Oryctolagus cuniculus: one gene and its partners. The protein of the gene in region 1 purifies or fractionates together with the protein of each later gene. This does not show direct contact. Links are inferred from orthologs where the notes say so. Each region holds a gene or a part of one and is shown in the gene's direction. Other genes may lie near its edges.

Evidence for each region.
Region 2: the proteins of HDAC4 (region 1) and PPP2R1A purify together in Homo sapiens (affinity purification with mass spectrometry; 3 studies listed by BioGRID, with this or other methods). This does not show direct contact. The link is inferred for Oryctolagus cuniculus from reciprocal best matches to the Homo sapiens genes HDAC4 and PPP2R1A.
Region 3: the proteins of HDAC4 (region 1) and TBL1XR1 purify together in Homo sapiens (affinity purification with mass spectrometry; 3 studies listed by BioGRID and IntAct, with this or other methods). This does not show direct contact. The link is inferred for Oryctolagus cuniculus from reciprocal best matches to the Homo sapiens genes HDAC4 and TBL1XR1.
Region 4: the proteins of HDAC4 (region 1) and PPP2CA purify together in Homo sapiens (affinity purification with western blotting; 3 studies listed by BioGRID, with this or other methods). This does not show direct contact. The link is inferred for Oryctolagus cuniculus from reciprocal best matches to the Homo sapiens genes HDAC4 and PPP2CA.
Region 5: the proteins of HDAC4 (region 1) and SIN3A purify together in Homo sapiens (affinity purification with western blotting; 3 studies listed by BioGRID and IntAct, with this or other methods). This does not show direct contact. The link is inferred for Oryctolagus cuniculus from reciprocal best matches to the Homo sapiens genes HDAC4 and SIN3A.
Region 6: the proteins of HDAC4 (region 1) and HIF1A purify together in Homo sapiens (affinity purification with western blotting; 4 studies listed by BioGRID and IntAct, with this or other methods). This does not show direct contact. The link is inferred for Oryctolagus cuniculus from reciprocal best matches to the Homo sapiens genes HDAC4 and HIF1A.

Annotation. Positions count from the first base shown.
Region 1 is NC_091434.1:1,604,491-1,607,990, forward strand, and holds part of HDAC4 (histone deacetylase 4), read left to right. Parts: intron 1-1,649; coding exon 1,650-1,781; intron 1,782-3,061; coding exon 3,062-3,177; intron 3,178-3,500. UniProt on the Homo sapiens protein: Responsible for the deacetylation of lysine residues on the N-terminal part of the core histones (H2A, H2B, H3 and H4).
Region 2 is NC_091449.1:6,437,523-6,441,022, forward strand, and holds part of PPP2R1A (serine/threonine-protein phosphatase 2A 65 kDa regulatory subunit A alpha isoform), read left to right. Parts: intron 1-748; coding exon 749-981; intron 982-1,729; coding exon 1,730-1,877; intron 1,878-1,983; coding exon 1,984-2,139; intron 2,140-3,500. UniProt on the Homo sapiens protein: The PR65 subunit of protein phosphatase 2A serves as a scaffolding molecule to coordinate the assembly of the catalytic subunit and a variable regulatory B subunit.
Region 3 is NC_091435.1:102,717,847-102,722,025, forward strand, and holds the start of TBL1XR1 (F-box-like/WD repeat-containing protein TBL1XR1), read left to right. Parts: upstream 1-1,379; 5' UTR 1,380-1,518; intron 1,519-1,813; exon of another isoform or gene 1,814-2,343; intron 2,344-2,482; exon of another isoform or gene 2,483-2,637; intron 2,638-4,179. UniProt on the Homo sapiens protein: F-box-like protein involved in the recruitment of the ubiquitin/19S proteasome complex to nuclear receptor-regulated transcription units. Plays an essential role in transcription activation mediated by nuclear receptors.
Region 4 is NC_091437.1:22,493,193-22,495,559, reverse strand, and holds the end of PPP2CA (serine/threonine-protein phosphatase 2A catalytic subunit alpha isoform), read left to right. Parts: intron 1-29; coding exon 30-148; intron 149-1,060; coding exon 1,061-1,133; 3' UTR 1,134-1,867; downstream 1,868-2,367. UniProt on the Homo sapiens protein: Catalytic subunit of protein phosphatase 2A (PP2A), a serine/threonine phosphatase involved in the regulation of a wide variety of enzymes, signal transduction pathways, and cellular events.
Region 5 is NC_091443.1:108,521,641-108,525,722, forward strand, and holds the start of SIN3A (paired amphipathic helix protein Sin3a), read left to right. Parts: upstream 1-1,282; 5' UTR 1,283-1,305; intron 1,306-1,404; exon of another isoform or gene 1,405-1,429; intron 1,430-4,082. UniProt on the Homo sapiens protein: Acts as a transcriptional repressor. Corepressor for REST. Interacts with MXI1 to repress MYC responsive genes and antagonize MYC oncogenic activities. Also interacts with MXD1-MAX heterodimers to repress transcription by tethering SIN3A to DNA.
Region 6 is NC_091451.1:8,816,850-8,820,842, reverse strand, and holds the start of HIF1A (hypoxia-inducible factor 1-alpha), read left to right. Parts: upstream 1-1,193; 5' UTR 1,194-1,292; coding exon 1,293-1,327; intron 1,328-3,993.

The DNA of each region.
Region 1 (3,500 bases):
CCCGCTAAAGCCACAGCCTGACTTGTCGTGTGAACCTGTCAGTGCACCCCAGCCCCGCCCCCCTGTCACCACGCCCTGCCTTGAGGCTCCTCCCTGGGCCCATCAGCGTGCTCCCCCACTCACCTTGGCTGTGCACGTCTCCCAGCAGTCCACGCAAGTCCTGCGTGGAGGGAGCGTTTTGGAAGCCACGCGTGCTGGCAGATCTCTGTTCCGACATCCAGGATTGGCCGAGGGTTTGGGGGGAAGGAGCCCTCCGGAGCATTCTGGCATCGAGCCCCATTCTTTGTCCCCAGAACTGAGCCGAGAGCTCCCAGCCGCGAGGGTCTCCTGGCGCCGCTCCCCCAGACAGGACGCTTCTGCGCGGCTCCGCTGGGACCCCTCGCTGGGACCCGTCGGCGCTTCTGACCCGGGGCTTCGCGGATTGGGCGTGGGACCTTCGCCCTGTCTCTCTCCCTTTGAAGGCAGCAGCTTTGCACTCAGGGCTCGGCCTCTAAGATCTCCCTCCCCGTCTCCACGGGACGGCCGGGAGGAGCCGCCGCGAGCCTTGGCCTTTGCCCTGGCGATGCCCTCGGCGGCCCGTTGCGGACTCACAGCCCTTCCCCCAGGGGCTCCGGGCCCAGAGCAGGGCCCCCGTGCCTCAGAGCCCACCAGCCCTTCGCCGAGGCTGCCTGGTGTTTTGCTTCTGCGCTGTCAGCCGTGGGCCATCTCACGAGGCAGCCTACGGAGGGGCTGCTGTGTGGAACGGCGGGTTCATCTGCCCGTCAGCGCCGGTGTCCACATCACGGTGTTGGTGCAAGTCCCGTCATCCACTGCCGACCCGGGAAGACGACAGATGGTGACCCGAGTGCTCTGACCCTGCTGCTTATGTGGGGGACCCGGGTGGAACTCCTGGCTCCTGGCTCCTGGCTTTGGCCTGTCCAGACCTGGCTGCTGTGGCCATTTGGGGGGTGAACGAGTAGATGGAAGATCACTCTGTTCATTCTGTCACTCTGCCTTTCACGTAAGTAAATTTTTTTTAAGTTTTTTTTTTATTTATTTATTTGACAGGTAGAGTTATAGACAATGAGAGAGAGACAGAGAGAAAGGTTTTCCTTCCGTTGGTTCACCCCCCAAATGGCCGCTACGGCCAGAGCTATGCGGATCCAAAGCCAGGAGCCGGGTGCTCCACGTGGGTGCAGGGCCCAAGCACTTGGGCCATCCTCCACTGCCTTCCTGGGCCACAGCAGAGAGCTGGACAGGCGGAGGATTAGCCAAGTGAGCCATGGCGCCAGCCCCGTAAATTAATGTTTTAAAGTGTATGGTTCAGGTAATATTGTTCATGGGCCTCAAGTCATCCCTTGTTTGTCATTTTCCCAGATCTTGGAGCAGCACTGCTTTAAAGATATGGGTACATTGTTTAGGAGAATATTACGTGAGAGATGTTGCCTTTATGCTGCTGGCACACCTCGCCCGTTCCCCGTCATGACCACTAAGTCAGACGTCACCCACACGTGGGGACTCCGTGTCCACACAAGTGCAGCCCACGCTCCCGTGTGCCTGCCTGTCACTGCCAGCAGATGTTGCCCACAGTGCGTGTCGCTGAACTGCCCGCAAGATGCCCGTGAATCCAGCTGGCCCGCATGTCGTAACCACATCTCCTGTGTGTGCAGCTTCTGAACCCAACTTGAAACTGCGGTCCCGGCTCAAGCAGAAAGTGGCCGAGAGGCGGAGCAGCCCCCTGCTGCGCAGGAAGGATGGGCCAGTGGTCACCGCTCTCAAAAAGCGTCCGTTGGATGTCACAGGTATGGCGGGTGCGTGGGCGCCTGTGTCACCGCAGCTGTTCCCGGAGCCTCTGGACACTCAGTCTGCCTGACATGCTTGGCCACGTGCAGTCCTGGGCCCCTCGTGCCAGGTCCGCAAGGCCTGGCCACCCAGGCTCGGCGACCCGGAGTCCCTCGCCAAGTCCCTGCTCCAGCGCCAGCTGCACAGCGCTGCGGTTTCCCGGGCAGCACCAGGGCAGGGCTGTGAGCTGGTGCGGCACTGTGGGCATGTCTGCAGGGGCTGGGTGGGTCTCCCCTGCCCCGGCGGTGGTGAACCGGTGTTCCTGCCCGCTCACCGCCCCCCTGCTCCGTGGTCGCAGTCAGAGTCACTGGACGGTCCTGGAGTCTTCTCCCGCCAGTGCACCGTGCCTGAGCACAGGAGAAATTGCGGTGTAGCCCGCGGAAGACCTGCTGCCACCGCGGCAGCGCCCCCTGGTGGTGCACTCCCGGAATGTTCCAAGCATGCAGCTCGCATTGCCCTTCCTTTGGAAACTTGGCCCCAGGTGCTGCTGTTACTAAGCAGCCATTAAACCCAACTTCAGAAGCCTGGAGCCTTGTTAACATTGAGAGCCACAGAGACCTCGGCTGCGTGGCAGCAGCAGTAGTGGCTGCCGTGGCCAAGAGAGGGAGCTTGGTGCTGAGTGTGGCTTCCCCGGCCACACGGCTCTCGCTGGCACCGGGGCTGAGCCGCTCCGAGGGCGAAAGGCTCCTTACGCTTGTGGACCGCAAGGACAAAGCCCAGACGCCGCTGGCTGCGTCTGCGCCCGCACCTGGTGCTGTGCTGCACACGAGCTCAAGTTCAGAGCGCCAGCAGCGGGCGGCCTGGTTTCGAAGTGAGTTTTTCTGGAGAGCGCAGTGCATGTGACCTTTCACCGCTCAGTCATTTGCTCTGTGCTTCCTGGTCTTCTGTGGTTAGAACGTGGCGGTGGCTGAGAGCTTATCTCCCTGGGACTTGAATAGCTCCTGCAGTTCAGGAGGCAGACGACGGCTCCCCGTGTGTATCCTGAGCCCCTGACGGGGCTTGCTGGAGCGTGAGCTCCGCAGACTCATGCGGACAGCAGGGCGGGCCTGAGACTCGGGGCGCTGGCCGCAGGCTCCCTGTGCAGAAGCACAGGCGTGTCCCTCCTGTCGGGTTTCCACAGTCCCAAGCCCACAGCAGGCGTCCCGGCAGGCCGGCGCCGCTGGGCTGCAGGTGAGCTGCGCCGTGCCCTGCGGGGACCCGTTGCTCAGGCCGCGCTCACCGGACGTTTCTGCCCCACCAGACTCTGCGTGCAGCAGCGCCCCGGGCTCCGGGCCCAGCTCGCCCAACAACAACAGCTCTGGGAACGTCAGCACGGAGAACGGCGGCGTGCCGGCCGCACCCAGCATCCCCACTGAGGTCAGTGCCGTGTCTGCTGCGTCGCGTTTGCTGCTGCCCTCCCCGGGGGCGACTTCAAGTGCCTGCCTGGCTCCCCCTGGGGCCGCGGGGTGTGTGCAGGAGTGGCCAGGCCACCGCTCTGAGCCCGACGTGGTGCCTGACCTCTTCCAGAGCGTGTTTCAGACGGCCTCATACCAGCCTGGGTGCCCACAGCGCCCTGGGCAGCAGCAGGGCCCTCCAGGAGGCCCTGGGTGCACGGGAACCCTTGCGGAGTGAGAGCGTTCATGGCTGTTGTGTGTTGAAAAAGCCACAAATTAACATGTCGACCAACAATCCACGGGTCG
Region 2 (3,500 bases), on another chromosome or scaffold:
TTCCCATTGTACCTTCTTTCTGCCTTAAATACCTCCCCAGCCAAGCTGGATTTCAGACCAGAGCCCTGCACAACTTTAGTTGAACATTGTAGCATAAATTGAGTCTCCATTAGGTCAGGAATTGCTGCATTCCTGCCCTATGCTAGGAGCCCTGCTGGGCTTTGGGGCAAAGTGGGCAGCCAGTCAGATGTCCCCGCCCCCCAGAATCTCCGGTAACACACCAGTAAGCAGTTACCCAGGGCCCCAGAGTCACGTGAGATCTTGTTACAGTCAGCAGAACTGTGTTAGAGGCCAGACTGCGGAGCCTCTGAGCCAAGTGAGTGGGTTTAGGTCCTGACTTGAAGTTGTTCCTGGCTTGGGCAAAGTGCTCAGCTTGTCTTTGCCTCACTGTCCTCTTTGAAGTGAGGACGCTAAAGGGACCTGCTTCCTGAGATCCTGTGAGCTGAACCAGCCCTGGGGGCTGTGACATGGTGGCCCTGCTTTGAGCGTGGGGTAGAGGTTCCCGTCAGCATCAGTGATGAGTCGTGCACTTAGAGAAGCCAAGGGTAGACAGGCCTCTCCTCAGGAAACGGCACACGTACAAAGGTTTATGAGGAGCTGAGAGCTTTCACGGAAGGCTGGGTGAAGGCTGGCACGGAGTGATTGGGGATCTGCAGGGAGATGCACCAGGAGGGAGCACGGTCTGGGTGGGAGTCCAGGACCACGTGTGGTGGGGAGCGAGTGTGTGATGGTCTCCTTCTCCTCACAGCCACCCCTGGAGTCACTGGCCACGGTGGAGGAGACGGTGGTGCGGGACAAGGCGGTGGAGTCCCTGCGGGCCATCTCACACGAGCACTCGCCCTCCGACCTGGAGGCCCACTTCGTGCCACTGGTGAAGAGGCTGGCGGGCGGCGACTGGTTCACCTCCCGCACCTCCGCCTGTGGCCTCTTCTCTGTCTGCTACCCCCGCGTGTCCAGTGCCGTCAAGGCGGAACTTCGACAGTAAGTCCTGCTCTTGCCCCATGGAAGCCCTGGCCCTCCCACCGCTGAGCTTGGTTCCCTTCCTTAAAGCCTCAGCCCCTTTAGGTCCGCCCTGGCTCACTTGCCCGGAGTGCTCCCAGCTCCCACTCCACCTCACCGGTCCCCAGAGAGGCGTGCCCTTGGGGGTGTGGCATCAACCCTGGCTCTGTCTCAGTGGGAGTGCCTTCTTCCCATTTTAATAAAATGAGCACATGAAGTGATTTGGATGGAATCTGGCACACAAAACACTCAACCAGTGATGTCTGGTGTTACCTTGGGCCAACCCTAGGTCACAGCCTTTGGCACATGTGCCATCTCCATGTCAGGCCTACCCAGGTCTCTCCCAGGATCTTGAACCTCAGGCCCAGGCCCTGAACTGTCACTCACTCCAGAGTTTTGGTTTCCAGTGGGACCTGTGTGCTGAGTTACCTCCCTTTACCCATGCGTGTCCAGCAGCTGTGTTTAAGGATAGCCTCTCGGTTTGACTTAGGGCAGCACTTCCGGTTTGGCAGTTTTCTGATTGTTACCTGGTAGCATTATTATGTGCTGGAAGGCTGCTGAGTGTCTCACACATGCTACCTGATTTAACCTGACGGCTCTGTGGGGTAGGTGCTGCTGCTCACAGCTCCACCCAGCAAAGCCAGGACCCTAGAGGCACCTTGCCACTCTGCTGCCTGCTGCCTTGGAATTCCCAGGGTTTCCCCCTCCTGAGTTCTGCCTGCAATCCCAGGTATTTCCGGAACCTGTGCTCAGACGACACCCCCATGGTGCGGCGGGCCGCAGCCTCCAAGCTGGGGGAGTTCGCCAAGGTGCTGGAGCTAGACAATGTCAAGAGTGAGATCATCCCCATGTTCTCCAACCTGGCCTCTGACGAGCAGGTGAGCTCTGTTCCCTGGCCCTCCCCTCTGGCCGACCGTGCACTCAGAGGGACTCCCAGGGCTCAGCAGGGCCTCTGCTGCCCTCCCTGTGCCCTGATCTCCCCAGGACTCGGTGCGGCTGTTGGCAGTGGAGGCGTGCGTGAACATTGCCCAGCTCCTGCCCCAGGAGGACCTGGAGGCCTTGGTGATGCCCACCCTGCGCCAGGCTGCTGAGGACAAGTCCTGGCGTGTCCGCTACATGGTGGCAGACAAGTTCACAGAGGTAAGTGAGAGGCCGTGGACATTGTCCCACAGGTGGGGACCCTGAGGCCCTCAGAGGGCCAGGGGCAGGGCTGGGTAAAGGAGCTGAGCCAGTGGAATCATCAAGTGTTTAAGCAGTGACATCTCTGTGATCATCCAGTTGGATCTCATTGCATTTGCCAGCCCTGGTTAATTTATGTGACAGCTTAAATTCCTGCTGAAAATTCTGGAGCTATGTTCAGACCCAGGGAAGAGCCACCAGAGCAGAGAAGGGAACGGGTAGCCTGTGGAGAGCGTTCCTGCCCTAGTAGAGCTTTTTCCTTCTCTCTCTTTTTTTTTTTCTTTTTACAGTTTTATTTATTTATTTGAGTGTTAGAGTTACAGAGAGAGAGGGGGAGTCAGAGAGGAGAGAGATCTTCATCTGCTAGTTCACTCCGCAAATGGCCTCAGTGACCAGGGCTGGGCCAGGCTGAAGCCAGGAGCTTCATCTGGGTCTCCTACTTGGATGCAGGGGCCCAAACACTAGGGCTGTCTTCTGCTGCTTTTCCAGACACACTAGGAGGGAGCTGGATCAGAAGTAGAACAGCCAGGACTCTAGCCAGCACCTATATGGGATACCAGCACTGCAGATGGTGGCTTAACCTGCTACACCATAACACCGACCTCACTTTTCCTCCTCTTACAAAAGAGAGTCTCTGACTCTCCCAGGGCAGTGCTCAAACATGTTTGGGGAGCAGCAGGTCTTTGAGCTCTGAGGGGTGCAGTGAATTCACCACATTCCTGGCCTTCAGGGGCAGGTGTTATACAGGGGAAGGTCAACTCAAGGGAACTTTATTAGTAAAGTGGGGGCCGGTTCTGTGGTGCAGCTGGTAAAGCTGCCACCTACAGTGCCGGCATCCCACATGGGCGCTGGTTCGAGTCCTGACTGCTCCACTTCCGATCCAGCTTCCGCTATGGCCTGGGAAAGCAGTAGAAGATGGCCCAAGTGCTTGGGCCCCTGCACCCTCATATGGAATTTTCCACTTGTATCACATTGTGCTCAAAAAGCTTTGAATTTTGGAACATTCTGGATTTTGGGATTAGAGTTATTCAACTTAACTTGTGCTTCTGTTAACTGATCTTAAAAAAATAGAAACAAATATAAATCAAAAAGTAAGGGAGTAGGAATTGTGGCTCAGCAGGTTAAGCCACTGCTTGGGATGCCTGCTTCCATAACAGAGGACCTAGTTCAACTCCTGGCTACTCTGTGCTTCTGATCTAGCTTCCCGCTACCTGGCAGGTAGCAGATGATAGCCCAAGGACTTGGGTCCCTGCCACCCATGTGGAGACTTGGATGGAGTTCCTGGCTTTGTCCTGTCCAAACCCCAGCTCTTGGGGACATCT
Region 3 (4,179 bases), on another chromosome or scaffold:
TTGAAGTCTTTTTTTTTTTTTAACATCACTAGAGTGGTTGCTTTTTATGTCCTCGGCTTATACTGAGGTCTAAGAGCACCTCCCAGGCCTGTTTTCTCAGAGTCTCTGAAAGATGAACACCACGTTGGCTTTCATAGCGGTGAGGTGCCTCCCTTTTCAAAAAGAGCCCGCCGCACTCCCTGCCTCCATCCTATTATCGCGGTATCAGCCACCTCAGTTCCAGTTCGATCGCCGCCTCTGATGCGCCACAGCACACACGCACCGAGTGCGCGCAGGGCCTGAACTTCCACCGTGCAGGCTGCGGTAGAGGCACGTATTTAGTCCACACCGGGCAGCGTGATTTTATTCTCGTGAGATGCGAACTGATGGACCCAACCTCTGCCACAGGCCCACCAGACGATAAATACCACCATATGCTTGACGCACAGTCCATTTGGGCACAAACACTGCAATCACAGCCCTGTGTTTAGTATCAGAAACCCCTCCCGGTGTGCGACTGTTCGCTCTGCAGAGCCCGTGCTCCGGATTCCACTCGGAAAACCGCTTCTTACAGCTTAGAGCCCCTGTGCAGGTACGCTTCCCAGTAACATATGCACTGACGCACACAAAGGTGTGCACTAGCGCTAGCCCTTCCTCAGCAAATGTCCACACGAGGCCTGCGCCGCGCTCCCGCACATGCCCGCAGCGTGTGCGCCGCGCCGGCCGCCCAGGAAACTCGGCCGGCCCGGGCCCGGGTCCCGGCCCCGGCCCCGGCCCGGCCGCGCGGCCTACACCCAGCGGCCCTCAGCCGAGCGCGGCGGTGGGGGCGGGGCGGGGCCGCCCGCGCCCGGAGGCGCCTCGGAGCGCCCGCGGGGCCGGCTTTCTTTTTTAAAAGAATGCGCCGCACTCGCCCAGCCCCCAGCGCCGCCGCCGCCGAGAGCCGGGAGGGAGAGGAGCGCGGCCCGCGGACGCCCCCCCCCCCGCCGCTTCCCCGCGCCCCTCCCCCCGGCCCCTCCCCCGCGCGCCCGCCCGGCGCAGGCCGCTCGGGTTTGTTTTGCTGCGCGGCCGCCGCCGCCGCCGCCGCCGCCGCGGGCCTCGCGAGCTCATTTGTGCCTGGCTGGTCCCCATTCCTCTCTCCCCAGTGTTGAGTGTCTGAGCCGTTGGCTGCTCCGAACCGTTTGGCTCTTTCCCTTAGTAACAGCTTTTACCTTCTGCCTCAATTCCTCTCCCCGCTCGCGCCCTTCCCCCGCGCGCCGCCTCCCCCCGCCGCCGGCCGCGTGCGCCCCCGCCCCTCCCCCCGCGGCGGGAGCACCTCCGCTCGCCACCTGGGGACCCGCGCCGCGCTCCCCGCCCCCGCCCGCCGGCGCCCATCCCCCGCGCCCCGCGCTCGCCGGGGTTATAATTGCCTCTCACCCCCCGGAGGGGTTATTTTGGGGGTGGTTGGAGGCGGTGGCGGCGGCGGCGGCGGCGACGAGGGGAGTTTCCTTGTGCCTCCATTCCCGGGAGGGGGGGAGCGGCGTTGGAGGCCACCGTTTCCAGGTAAGCGCCGGGGGCCGGACCCCTGAGTGGGGGCGGCCGCGGGCCGGGCGGGGGGCCGCGGGCCGGAGGCGGCCGGGGGGCGCCGGGCCGCGGGGGGATGGGCGCTAGGGGGAACATGCGTTTTTCCACTGGGCCCTTGGGGGAGCTGGGGCTCGGGTGGGGGAGGGGAGGGAGGGCATTTAGGGTGCCCCATCCCCCCGCCTTGGCTCTCCCTGGCGCCTTTGAAATGCTCACGTGCCTGCCCACCCCCCCCACCCTCCCTGGGTCTCGGGGGGGATCCTCACCCTAATTATGTTGTCGTTGGCCCCGAAAATGGGCACCCGGGCCTGCTGGCCCCTTCCCCCTCCGTGCACCGACACCCCCTTTTTGTGTGTATGTGTATATGTGTATGTGTGTGTATATGTGTGTGTGTGTGCGCGCGCCGGGTGGGGGGAGGCTTTGAGGAAAGAATTTGCAGCAAATTGAATCAAGGAGCCATCATGAGGCCGACTCCTTTATAGCCTATTTTTAGCCGAGGAGACGGCTCCTCTCGATGCACGCGATTTTTGTGTGGAAGCCCAGGCAGCCATGGGAAGCGGCTCCCCCGGGCGGGCGCGGCCCGAGCCCCCGGCCGGCGTGCGGGGGGCTGCGGACGGTCGTTGGGGCCGCGCGTCCGGGGCGGGGGCGCCGGCGGCTGGGGGAGGGGCGGGCGGCCGCAGGGCCTCGCTCCGGGACGCGGTGGTTGGTCACTTGGTGCTTCCCACCGGCGGCGGGAGCTGTTTGGTGGAGCCCCTTTGAAGTTGGGTTCAGAAGTGTAGAATTGGCAAAGTTGTTGCCAGCTTCCTGGTAAGTTTCGGGTGGCACCGAGTGCCAGTGTTTTCTGACAGTGGAGAGGCCACGTTGTGAGAGGGTGGTTTCTCGGGAACTTCCTCTTTGCAGGCGAGGTCGTTTTTTTTTTTTTTTTTTTTTGAACAGAAAACAAGACTTTTTCTTGAAGTGAAATATTAATCTTCACGGTGGCAGCCCGAGGGAAGCCATGCGTGTGTTAACGTGTTCGGCGTTTTTTTGGAAGTTCCTAATTTGCTGAAGCGGGCATCGCCTTGCAGTGGCGACCGGGATTCAGTTCAGCCTGTGAAAATGGTGTGTTTCATGGAAAACTTGGGTCGTCGTGGCTTTTAAAAAAAATGCTCTTTGTTAGGTTATCCGACAATTTGTAAAAATAATGGGTGAATCTGAGAGAGAAGTGTTGCAGCCTAGTTAAAAATCGGATTTTCTCGGCGGCTGGAGTTTGCTTGAGATCTTGCTTGGACTGTGCAGGACCCAGAGGTTAAGAGTTTTAGTACCTATGCGATTTGCAGTCGAGTTAGGGAAGTTTACTACTGTTGGCTTTCTTGTTTTCCAAACAAGAACCTTATGCTCATCTAAACATCTTGTTAATAAAATATGGTGGGTTATTTTTAGTTCTAGGTTTTTAGACTGGAGGCTCCTTCCCCTCCCCCTCCATCATTAAGTAATCATCTTCCTCCTTTTTTTTTTTTTTTTTTCCTGAAGAGCCCTCCTCCAGTTTGGAGACCATAAGGGCCTCGTGGTGTTTTTAGCCTCTTAGCCTAAAACAACTTGAAGTAAATATCCTGGTTACACGGTGAAGACAGTGAGTGACTTTTTGGGGGGGGGGGTTTCGCAATGTGATTCATTTTTCATTTTTTGTTAAATGAGACCCATGTTACATTGGTGTATTTTAGTAATCTTGGCTTTCTGGGACTGCGTGTTCTCTCACCGTTTTAATAAGTTTATAGTCTGGAGAAGTAGGGCAGCTTTGTCTCCATGAAAACATCGTGAATGTTGGATTGTATCATGGGAGTTGATGGCAAGCTTCCCAAATTGTCATTGAGAGTTCTAGAAATAGTTAGCACTTACCTATGGGGGAGGGGCAGCAGAAAGAAAATAGGCTTGAGAGCCATTAGGCATGTGATGTGTGTTTATACTTTTTGCTCATAAATGGAGTTTTTCCTGCTTGTTTGGAGTCTCAATTTTTTGTTTTGAGTTTTGCTGTCCTGTACTGTGATGTATGTAATTGCAATCATTAGAGTTACAAGTAAGTGCCAATCCCCCCCCCCCCCCCCCCCGTTTGAAGTAGTTAGAATCAGTCCTGTGTAGGAGAAAGTAGTACACTCTATGGGGGATGAAAACAATGTGTGCATGGAAAAAGTTTTTCTTCTTGTGAGAATGGACTCAAGTGGCGTGTTAGTGTCTTAAAAATTGTTGCCAAGCTCACCGGCAGTTTGTAAGACATTTTCTTTTAACAGATGTCAGCTTTGGTTATTAACATGGGAGACGCTGATGGTAAATGGAGTGGCCCCTTGTGGAGATGGTATTTTTGCATCGGTTGCATCATGGAAGTGTTAAAAACATGTTAATAATTTTTTACATAGGTCCAGGAATCTCTTTGATACTTGTGTTCTCAACACCTAATTAAGCTTTTTGGGTGATTACCATGCTATCCGTCCAGCAACAGTAAGAAGTAACTGCTTCCTGTGCACTGCGAGCTTTTCAAGCTTTGCACAAAGGCAGATGCCGAACGTAAACATAGGGGTTCCTGATAAAAGGAGATGTAATTAACGGCTCTTCTGAATGTCAACCTGTTGAATAAATACATCAGTTCGTATATAGCAATGCAGCATA
Region 4 (2,367 bases), on another chromosome or scaffold:
AAGTTGATTTTAATTTCTTTTCCATTTAGGGATATAACTGGTGCCATGACCGAAATGTAGTAACAATTTTCAGTGCTCCAAACTATTGTTACCGCTGTGGTAACCAAGCTGCAATCATGGAACTTGATGACACTCTAAAATACTCTTTGTAAGTGTTCACGCCCAGTGTTTCATCGCCATTACTGAATATTTGGTTTTACTGGGACATTTAAGGGTTTGTACAATCATGTTAAATTTTAACTTCTTCTTGGGACTTATAATATATTGAAACAGTACAGTAGAAACTAATATATTGTACACAGATCATAATATGAATTATTAGAGTTTTAACTTTTAAGATACAGTTCTTTAGTTGCATTAAAGTTTATTTAGTTGGCAGTCTCTCAAACCATCTTAGCAGGAACCCTAGTTTTTTTTTTGTTTTTTGTTTTTTGTTTTTTTTTAAGCAGAAACCCACTCTTAAGGAATATTGTTCTTAGGAAAATTATAAATTTTTTAAAAATATTTACTTATTTGCAAGTCGGAGTTACACAGAGAGAGGAGAGGCAGAGAGAGGGAGAGAGAAAGGTCTTTGAGCTGCTAGTTCACTCTCCAATTGGCTGCAATGGATGGAGCTGTGCTGATCCAAAGCCAGGAGTCAGGAGGTTCTTCCGGGTCCCCACAAGGGTGCAGGGGCCCAAAGACTTGTGCCATACTCTACTGCTATCCCAGGCCATAGCAAAGAGCTGGATTGGAAGTAGAGCAGCCCAGACTTTTCATCCCAGGGGGGATGCCGGTGCTTCAGTCCAGGGCGTTAACCCTCTGCGCCACAGCTCCAGCCCCAGGAACCATAGTTTGTAAAAGCATCATTTTTGTGGCTGAAGTTGCCCGGGCTCTTTGCAGGAAAGTGCAGTTAGAAGCTCTTTTGACTGCATGATTTAGGTATAGGTAAGCTCCTGTTACATGAGACTGACCTAGAATGGAATAGGAAAAAAATGTAATGTTTAAAAATGAATGCCAGTGATTTGGATTGCTAGTGCATGGCTGTCAGAATGTAAACAAGGAATCTCTTGTTTTTCAGCTTGCAGTTTGACCCAGCTCCTCGTAGAGGCGAGCCACATGTTACTCGTCGTACCCCAGACTACTTCCTGTAATGAAATTTTAAACTTGTACAGTATTGCCATGAACCATATGTGACCTGATGGAAATGGGAAGAGCAACAGTAACTCCAGAGTGTCAGAAAAATAGTTAACCTTCAAAAAACTTGTTTTCACACGGACCAAAAGATGTGCCATATAAAAATACAAAGCCTCTTGTCATCAACAGCCGTGACCACTTTAGAATGAACCAGTTCATTGCATGCTGAAGCGACATTGTTGGTCAAGAAACCAGTTTCTGGCATAGCGCTATTTGTAGTTACTTTTGCTTTCTCTGAGAGACTGCAGATAATAAGATGTAAACATTAACGCCTCGTGAATACAATAACTTCCATTTAGCTATAGCTTTACTCAGCATGACTGTAGATAAGGATAGCAGCAAACAATCATTGGAGCTTAATGAACATTTTTAAAAATAAGTACCAAGGCCTCCCTCTACTTGTGAGTTTTGAAATCGTTTTGTTTCTTTTCAGGGATACCATTTAATTTAATTGTATGATTTGTCTGCACTCGGTTTATTCCTTTCTCAGATCTCACCCCTGTGTTGTTCTTTGTTATTGTCAGAACCTGGTGAGTTGTTTTGAACAGAACTGTCCCTCCCTCCCGTCTTGTAAGATGATGTTACTGCACAAGGGCACTGCAGTGTTTTTCATAATAAACTTGTGAACTAAGAACTGAGAAAGTCAGATTTTAATTGTATCAATGGGCAAGATTGGTGCTGTTTATTAAAAAAGATAATTGATAAATTTGTAGAATTCTAGGTAAAGAAAAATAAAAATCAAGGCCACTGCATAATCTCTGATAACGCCTTCATATTCTTCAGATTAACTTCCGGCTTTATTTGTGTTCCGTGTAATACAGTTTGTCAGATCACTGATGGGCTCTTTGTGGGTTCCTCCTGTATGTTAACTGGTCTGTATGAAAGAAAATGTGCACTGCTTTAGTAAGACGAAATCATGCAAGTTGATTTCATTTTGGAGTAAAACTTAACAAATTAAGGGTGTATCTGCACTGCGGTTTCTGGTTATAAATATTTTGCTGTATGTATTATATGAACTCTTGAAAATGGTTGGCAGATTGGTTCGTTTTTAACAAATATTTGTACATTATTTGTGGACTTTCTTGATCTTAAATTTGTCTCAGAAAGCTATTAACGTACTAACTTGTTAAGTTCTTTTAAATGGTATTAGTGAAACCGCATAGAAAATTATTGTTGGGTCATGGTTTAGTG
Region 5 (4,082 bases), on another chromosome or scaffold:
CCCCTCCTCTCCCCTCCGTGGTCTCCCCAAAGCTGCGGCTCCCCACCTGCCCTCTCTGCTTACAGCCCAGCTTCCCACGTGGACCCTGGGGCCGGGGCGGAGGGTGGGGGTGGCGGCTGGCAGCCTGTCCGCTCCATTTCCCACCCCGTTTCGTGGAGAGGCTCAGGCCCAGGTAGGGGAGACAGGAGCTCGTTTAAGCCTCCGACAACGGCCACGCGAAGCGCAGGGCCGAATTCCGCCAGCCCCGAGCTCCTCCGCCTCACCCCGCCGAGGGCCGCTGGCTCCATTTGCCGCCCACCGCCCACTCCAAATAGCCGCCCTCTCCCCTGAGTCTCTCCAACACTGCTCGCCTTTCTTGCTCGCACGCATCCCCTGGCCGTGCCCTGGTCTAGTGTGCCCCGCCTGAACTACCGGCCCACCGCACGGATCCCTCCGAGCCCCGACCAGCCGGTCTCCCTCGCTCACACCAGGCGCATCCGGCCTCTGCTGAACACAGACCTGCGGGGTGGCCCTGCCCCCTGGAAACTCTTTTCGGTTGGCAATGGAGACCAACAGAGCAAGGGCGGCAGGGCAGAGGCAGGGCAGGCGTCGCAGCACTGTAGCCACCAAACCCAGCGCCTCCCTCCCCTCACTGGGCACACCCCAGAGCCCACCGGCTGCTAGGGCGCTAAGCACCCGACCACACCGGCCTGGGCCTGCGACCGGCTTTTGGTCCAGCTAGGAGACGTCCCGCGGCTTGGGGCCACCTCTGCCACCCTGGTTTCCAGCATCGCAGTCCTCACGCTTTCCACCTGTCCCTTCGTGCCCTTTGCCCCTCCGCTTCTGCCCGGGGCAACCCCTAAGACCCACCTGGCTCGCCGCCGCCTCCACGCGGCTCCGCCGGCTTACCTGCAGCCGGCAGGGCTCTCCTGGGAGCGCCCGGGAGTCGGCCAGTCTGTGCGGGAGCACACTCCCGCCTCGCCTCGGCTCCTGCGGCAGCATCTCCACCGCGCCCGCACGCCCCAGGGCTGGGGTGACTCCCTCGCCGGGCTGCACGCAGGGCTTCCCGCCCGCACCCCTCGTCTCCAGGCGCCCAGCACGGCGGGCCGCCGTCCCGGAGCCCCGCCGCCCGGGACCCTCGAGGCGCCGCCGCGACGGCACCGGGGATCCTCCGCTCCGGGCTCGCCTAATTTATTTATTTGCACGGTTCCCGGAGGGAGGGGCGGGGCGAGCGCGGAGGCGGGCCCTCGGCCGTGACGCAGCGCCGCGGAGCCAATGGCCGGCGGGGGGCGTTCCCCATTCAGCACTCCTCGCCCGGCTCGGAAGGTATGTTAAACAGCTGCTTTCAATTCGGTGCCCCCGGCCCGCGTCCGGGGGGCGGCTCGCCGTGGCCGGCCCGACGCAGAGCGGGCGCGCAGGCCCCGGGGCGGCTCGGAGTCCCGCGGCCGAGGTAGGCGAGGGGCCGGCCCGGAGGGAGGGCGCTCGGCGCCGCCCGCCCGCCCGCCACTGTGTCTCCCGGCCGGGCCGAGCCGTGGGGAGGGGGCGCCAGCGCCGGCCGCGCCGCCTAGTGTTGCCGAGCACTCGGTGTCGGTAGGTTTCGGCGGCGGATTGGGGAGCGGCGAGCCGGAGGAGTCTCCGGCTCCGCTCACGCCTTTTTTTTTTTTTTTAAGAAAAACACACGAAAAGCAGCAAAAAAAAAAAAAAAAAAAAAGGTGGGTGGGGGGCCCTGCGCGCCGACCGGACGCGCTCCGGCAGGCGGGGGGCGGCGGCCGGCCCGGAGTTCCCTCCGCGCGGACTTGCCGGGCGGGCCGGGCTCGCGGCTTCCCTGCGCGCGCAAACTTGCACGAGGGGCGCGGGCGCCCCCGGCCCGGGGCCGCCGCCCTCGCCCCCCGCCGCCTCGCCGCCCGGAGCGGCCGTGAAGGTCGGAACCTGGGGAACTGTCTCCACGCTCGCTCGGGAAGAGGAAACGCATCAGCGGGCGGGAGGCGGGGCGCAGGCGCCGGGCGGGGGCGCGGGCCCGGCCGGCCGGCCGGCCGGCCGGCCTCCGGCCGCGGCCCAGACTGTTTACTACCGACTCCGCCGGCGGCTTGTGCAAGCGGCCCGCAGGGGACACGCGGGGCGGGGCGCCGCCTCGCCGCCCGCCGCCCCGGGCTCCTTGCGGGCCCCGCCTGCTCTTGTCTTCCATTGGCTGCTCGGGACTCCCTCTTTCGCTTCTCGGGCACGGATTGGCTGACATTATCTCGAGCTCCGCCTATAGGGAGGCCGGGCAGGAGTTTAAGTTGCTAGGGTTTTTTTTTTTTTTTTTCCGTGAAGGGCGGAGGGGGGGGCGTCCTGCGGCTACGTGAGGCGCGAGGGCCCGCCCCCGCTCCTGATTGGCTGCGCGCGCGGCCCCGCCCCCGGCGGAGCGAGCCGGGAGGGGAAGTCCGCCCTCGGCCGCGAGCGCGCCCCGCACATGTGTGAGGCCGCCGCGCTGCTCGCGTGCCTCCCGCCCGGAAGTCCCGGCTCCGCGCCCCGCGGGGGGAGGGGGTGGCGAAGGCGCGCTGGGCTGCCCGGCATCCCGCGGCCGGCGGCTTCCGGGTGGCGCTGGGGGCTCTGCGGGCGAGGGTCTGTCCGTCGGGCCGGGGCCGCGCTCTGAAGTTCGGGCCCGGCGGCGTGGCTGTTTCCGCGCGAGAGCGCTGCGGACGCCGGCAGCCGCTGCCCTCGGCGGGCCGGGAGGGGACCCCGGCGCGGGGTCGGGGCGCGGCGCGCGGGGCTGGGCCCGAGCTGCGCCCCCGCCGGGGGGTCGGCTCCCCGCAGTTCCCAGCTCGCAGCCGGCACTCACCTGTTGCCGGAGCTCGCTCCGAGGCTGCGGAGGGAGGGCGGTGTTGGGGTCCCCTCTGCGGGCGAGAGCGGGAAGCCCCGAGCCCCGCCCCCCAAGCAAGGCCACCGGCGGGCCCATGCCCTGTGTGCCGGCACCTGGTCTCGGTGCAGCTTAGCCTTCACGGAGCGGACCTAGGGACTGCCAGGAGCCCACGGTGGCCGAGGTGGACGCCGGCCGCGCCGGCCTCACCGCACGGGGAAGCCCCCGCCCAGAGGGGTCTGACCGCACGCGGGACCCCGGCCCAGAAGGTGTCTCTGCACGCGGGACCCCGGCCCAGAGGGGTCTGACCGCACGCGGGACCCCGGCCCAGAGGGGTCTCTGACCGCACGCGGGACCCCGGCCCAGAGGTGGCCTCTGACCGCACGCGGGACCCCGGCCCAGAGGTGGTCTCTGGCCGCACGCGGGACCCCGGCCCAGAGGGGTCTCTACCGCACGCGGGAGTCCGGCCCAGAGGGGTCTCTGACCGCACGCGGGACCCCGGCCCAGAGGTGGTCTCTGGCCGCACGCGGTACCCCGGCCCAGAAGGTGTCTCTGCACGCGGGAGTCCGGCCCAGAGGGGTCTCTGACCGCACGCGGGACCCCGGCCCAGAAGGTGTCTCTGCACGCGGGACCCCGGCCCAGAGGGGTCTGACCGCACGAGGCACCCCCGCCCACTCCGGTCCCTTCCTCGGTTCCTCCGCTGGCTCTGCCCCCGAGGCGGCCAGGGCGGTGGCCGTCGGGCCGCTTTCAGGGCTGCCCGTTCCGGTCGGGTTTGTGGGCGCAGCTCTGCCCCGGCCGCTGCTAGGCGGCGGCGTGCGACCGCCAGGCCGGAGGCTGAGGTTCGCGGTGAGGGGCGCCCGGGCCCCGGCGCTGCCCCCGGAACTCCGAGCTCGTCTCGGTGTCAACATTCCACCAAAGGACGGCGGGGCGGAATCGCCGGGGGCGGGCCCGGCGCGGCTGTGAGGTGGGAGGCGCCTGCGTCCCGCACGGACACTGTGCCCCACAGCGGCTGCCTTCCTGGGGCGCCGAGAGCCGGAGGTAGCCTTCCGAAACGCTGACCGGCGGAGGCGGGAGCCGACCTGCTCGGCCTGTGGCTGAGACGGCGCGGGGCGGGCCGTGCGGTGTCCTCCAATGAGACGAGAAGAGCTCCCCCGCTTCCGCCAATGGTGTTGCGGCTGGGGGGAGGGACTCGGCAATCCGTCTCCAATAGGCGGGGTTGAGTTAGGGAAGCTCCCCGCCAATAGGGGCGTGGAGAGGGTGAGCG
Region 6 (3,993 bases), on another chromosome or scaffold:
GCAGTCCTGTCAGCAAACAGGCAGTGCTAGCCAGCACCGTCGTGCCCGGTTCCTTCCAACCCGGCGGGCTCTGGCCCATGCCCCGGAGGCAGCCTGGGTTCCGGACTCGGTCTACACCGCGAACGCAACTCAAGGAGACTCTTCTGAATCCACGCAAGATCGTCTTGCAAAAGCGCTAAGAAAGCACAAAGAAAAGTGTGCCTAAAGCCATTTTTCCGACCCTCCCTGAAATGCAGGTTTATATATTCTCGCTTCTGAAAGCCGTTTCTACAGTAACTTCACACCTTCCTTCCTCGGAGAGAGGCGTGCAACAACGGGTCTGTGAGGTTTTCCCTGGCATTAACTTAAACAAGTTCGCGACAGAACGCCTCAGGGGCCCCGCGGGGTCCCCCGTGCCGTGCGGCAGAGCGCGGGCAGCCTGGCAGGAAGGCCGCGCCGCAACGCGTCCGAGCGGGGAGACCCGGGGGGCTCGCGCCCAAGCCGCCAGGGCTGCGCTTTCCCACAGGGAACTCGGCTACGCCGCCTGAGGGGAGCGCGGGAGCGGGAAAACGTGATGCAACCTCGGGCCCGGGCAGCCGCCAACTCCCCTCAGCAGCGCCTCCCGCAAGCCCGCCGCCGCCGTCCCCAGCGGCAGGCGCTGGGTGCCCCCTAGTCCCGGCGCAGACGCACCCCCCAACGCCTTTCTCTCCGCCCCGGCCGCACACAGACGGGCACGTGAGCGCCGCGGCGCGTCCCAGCTGTGCCTCAGCTGAGCGCCTCCGGATTGGCTGAGAGCGACGTGGGCTGGGGTGGGCACTGGCCGCCTGCGTCGCTCGCCATTGGCTCCCGAGCAGCCCGCCTCCCCCTCAGGTGAGGCGGGCCTGCGGGGGCGCGCGCGCGCGCGCTGGGCTCGGCGGGCAGGCGAGGGGCGGGGGCGCGCGCTCCCGCCCCGCCCCTCCCCTCCCCGCGCGGCCGGGCGCGCCTCCGCCCTTGCCCGCCCCCTGCCCGCTGCCTCAGCTCCGCCGAGCGCAGAGCCGCCTCGTCTGAGGGGACGCGAGGACCGTCCTCGCTGCCGAGTGGGCCCAGCGCGTCGGGCCGGGCCGTGACAAGCAGCCTGCGCGGAGGCTCGCGCCGGACTCCGCGCTCGCCGCCCCGCTCTGCTCTGCGAGGAGCTTCCCGCCTCGCACCCCTCCCCCGCCGCCGCCCCCACCCGGACTTGCTCTGCTCTCTCCGCGTGTGCAGGGAGCCGGCGCTTAGGCCGGAGCGAGCCTGGGGGCCGCCGGCCGGGAAGGCATCGCGGAGACCGAATCGCCATGGAGGGCGCCGGCGGCGCGAACGACAAGAAAAAGTAAGCCCCTTCCCCGCCCGCCCGCCCGCCGGGCCGCGGCGCTCCCGGGGTGGGTCGCTGGGCGGGCGGGGGTCGCCCGGCCTTTTTTTTTGTTGTTTCTGCCTCCTCTCCCCTCCCCTCTCTTTCCCCCAACCTCGCCGGCCGGGCTCCCCCGCTGTCCACGTCGCCATCTTGTCGTGGGGGGTGGGAGACGCCTCGAAAGTGCTTCCAGGGGGCCGGGGGTCTGCACGCCGCCGCCGCCGCCGCCCCCAGCCGGGGCTGCGGGGGTCCTCGCGCCGCCCCCCGCGCCCGCCGCGGAGCCCCAGCCTTGCGGCGCGGCCCCGTCCGGAGGGGACTTCGCCCCAGCCTGGAAGCCGAGCCCGCAGCTCGGCGCCGCCGCTCGCACCCGGAGCTTCCGCTCCCTCCCGGTGGCGGGGAAGGCGCGGGCCGGGCGCCCCGCACGCTGGCCGCGGCTCGCCGGCGGGTGCGGGGCCCCGGCGGCCGCGGCTGGGCTGGCCCTTGCGGCGGTCCCGCCGCGGCGGGTGTCGCTGCCTTTGTGCCGTGGTGGGGGGATTGGCCGCGGCGGCCTTCGGATGCTAACTTTTTAGTTTGCACGTGCAGGTTTTGTTTTTCGTTTTGTTGTTTTAATCGGCTGGAAAAACTTGCCCAGACTTGGGAGTCGGAGTAACGGGAATTGGGGGGCACATCGCCAGGCTGTAGCGGGAACTTGGGAAGTGGAGACTTGGGATCCAGGGAGCCCAGACGATGAGCAGGAATCCGTGCCTCATTCATTCCCGAAAATATCTTGGTGAAAATGTAACGGGCGGCTTCGATTTAGGCAGACAGTGTCAGTGAGGTTGAAAAGCGAAGTAGATGACCGGAGCAAACGAAATGCAACACTAAAGTGTTGGAGGATTTTTTTTTTTTCAGAACTGTCTCGTTTTCCTGATATTTTAATATATTTGAAGGAAACCATCAGCACATATCCAGATTGTGTTGGGACTTAAAGCAAGTTTATTGAACAGCGTGAAGTGTAAGAGGGGTACATTATAGAAAGATTAAGAATGGTGGAACCCGTGGTATTTACAGTACCCCCCTCCCTATTTTCTCCACTTTGGTATTTTCACCGTTGAGGAAATTATTTTAAGGAATTGAGGATTTATATAGTAGGAGTAGTAACGTAGGCTGGCTTTACTGTTAAGTCCTTCCACTCTTATGGGAGAGATTAACTTCTCTAATCAGTATGAGCGGAAGATAAACTTGTTTATATCCTTGCTGTTTTGTAGATTCTTTATCTTGGTCCCTATTCAATAGAATGTAAAATTCTCAGTTTATATACACCGGGGAGAGAGCACTTACACAATTTAAAACATGAGCACACAAGTCTAGATTTAATTTCAAGAGTTAACCAGGAATTAATTGCAATTAATTTTGCAGAAGTGATTACAGTGTTTTTGATGAAATGAAGAGGCTGCTATATTGTAAACCAAAGGCAGATTACCTCTGTGTAGTGCCAATTTTCCGTCCTTATTATATACTGAATCATAGTTACCACAATGCATTAGGTTGTGTACCAGTCACTTCCTTTTTATATGTAATACTTTACTGATTTCTTCTTTGCTATTCTTCAGTTAATACCAGAAGCCACTGTAAAATAAGTGAGTGAATAAATTAGCAACTACTGCGCACCAGCCCCAGCGCTAAATGAATTCTTTGGTTTTCCCCATTCCCATTGTTATTTTCAAAATTTTCTCATTTGAAAACTTAACCACCTGGGATCGAATGTAGTCGTAACACTTAATATGGAGATTCTTAATATAACTGAAATTTTAAGTTAAACAGTAAATAGTGATTACTCAGCAACTTTTGGATGATGTTAATTAAAAATGCCCTTTCCTGACTAATATTTCTTCAAGTTTTTGAAAGGTAACAGATTGAGGTGGAGATTTTCTTCTTGGAATTTTCCCAGTTTTAGAGGAGGACAAGGCAGCTGAAAATCAGAATTGAAAGAAATCAGAGCAGAGTGGTGTGGTTGTAATAGATTTAACAGGGAGTTTCATGTTGATTCCTTAGTTGTAGGTGCTGGACTTACTGAGAGCACAAGGATAATAGGGGTTTTTAGATTCAAAAGGAATGGCAGGAGGTTCTGTTTTTAGGCTTCAGGTCAGGTTCCTTCAGAGTTTTCCAAAACAAATAATTACTGGAGCATTGTAGTGAAATCTCTGAGAATAAACATTTCTAAATTTTCTTTTTTAACCTTGGCCACTAAGAGTCATTTATTAGTAAACTTTTGTTGTTGCAGTTTGACTTGTTTATAACAGCAGCAGGGCTAGAGATGAAGAGTGTAGAAGCTGGAGGCCTGAATCTCTGAGTTAGAGTGCCAGCCTTTCCACTTGTGAATTGGGCAAGTCCTGAATGCGTCCATGCCTAACTTTTCCTTTTGATGATAAGAAGCAGCCATCTTAACAGTTAATATGTATGGGAAATGAGATCATGCATGTAGAACACTTAGCCCAGGGTCGGGAATGGGGGAGTCTTGGTAACAGTTTGTGTACTTCCTAGTAAATGTTACCTGTTTAAGCTTTAAGTTTGAACTTCCACCACCCTTAAAATGCTTTTTGTAAGTTCTTCCAAATATTTCTTTCAGTTTCTCTTCTGTCTTCATGCATCTTTTCTGTATCTCCAAA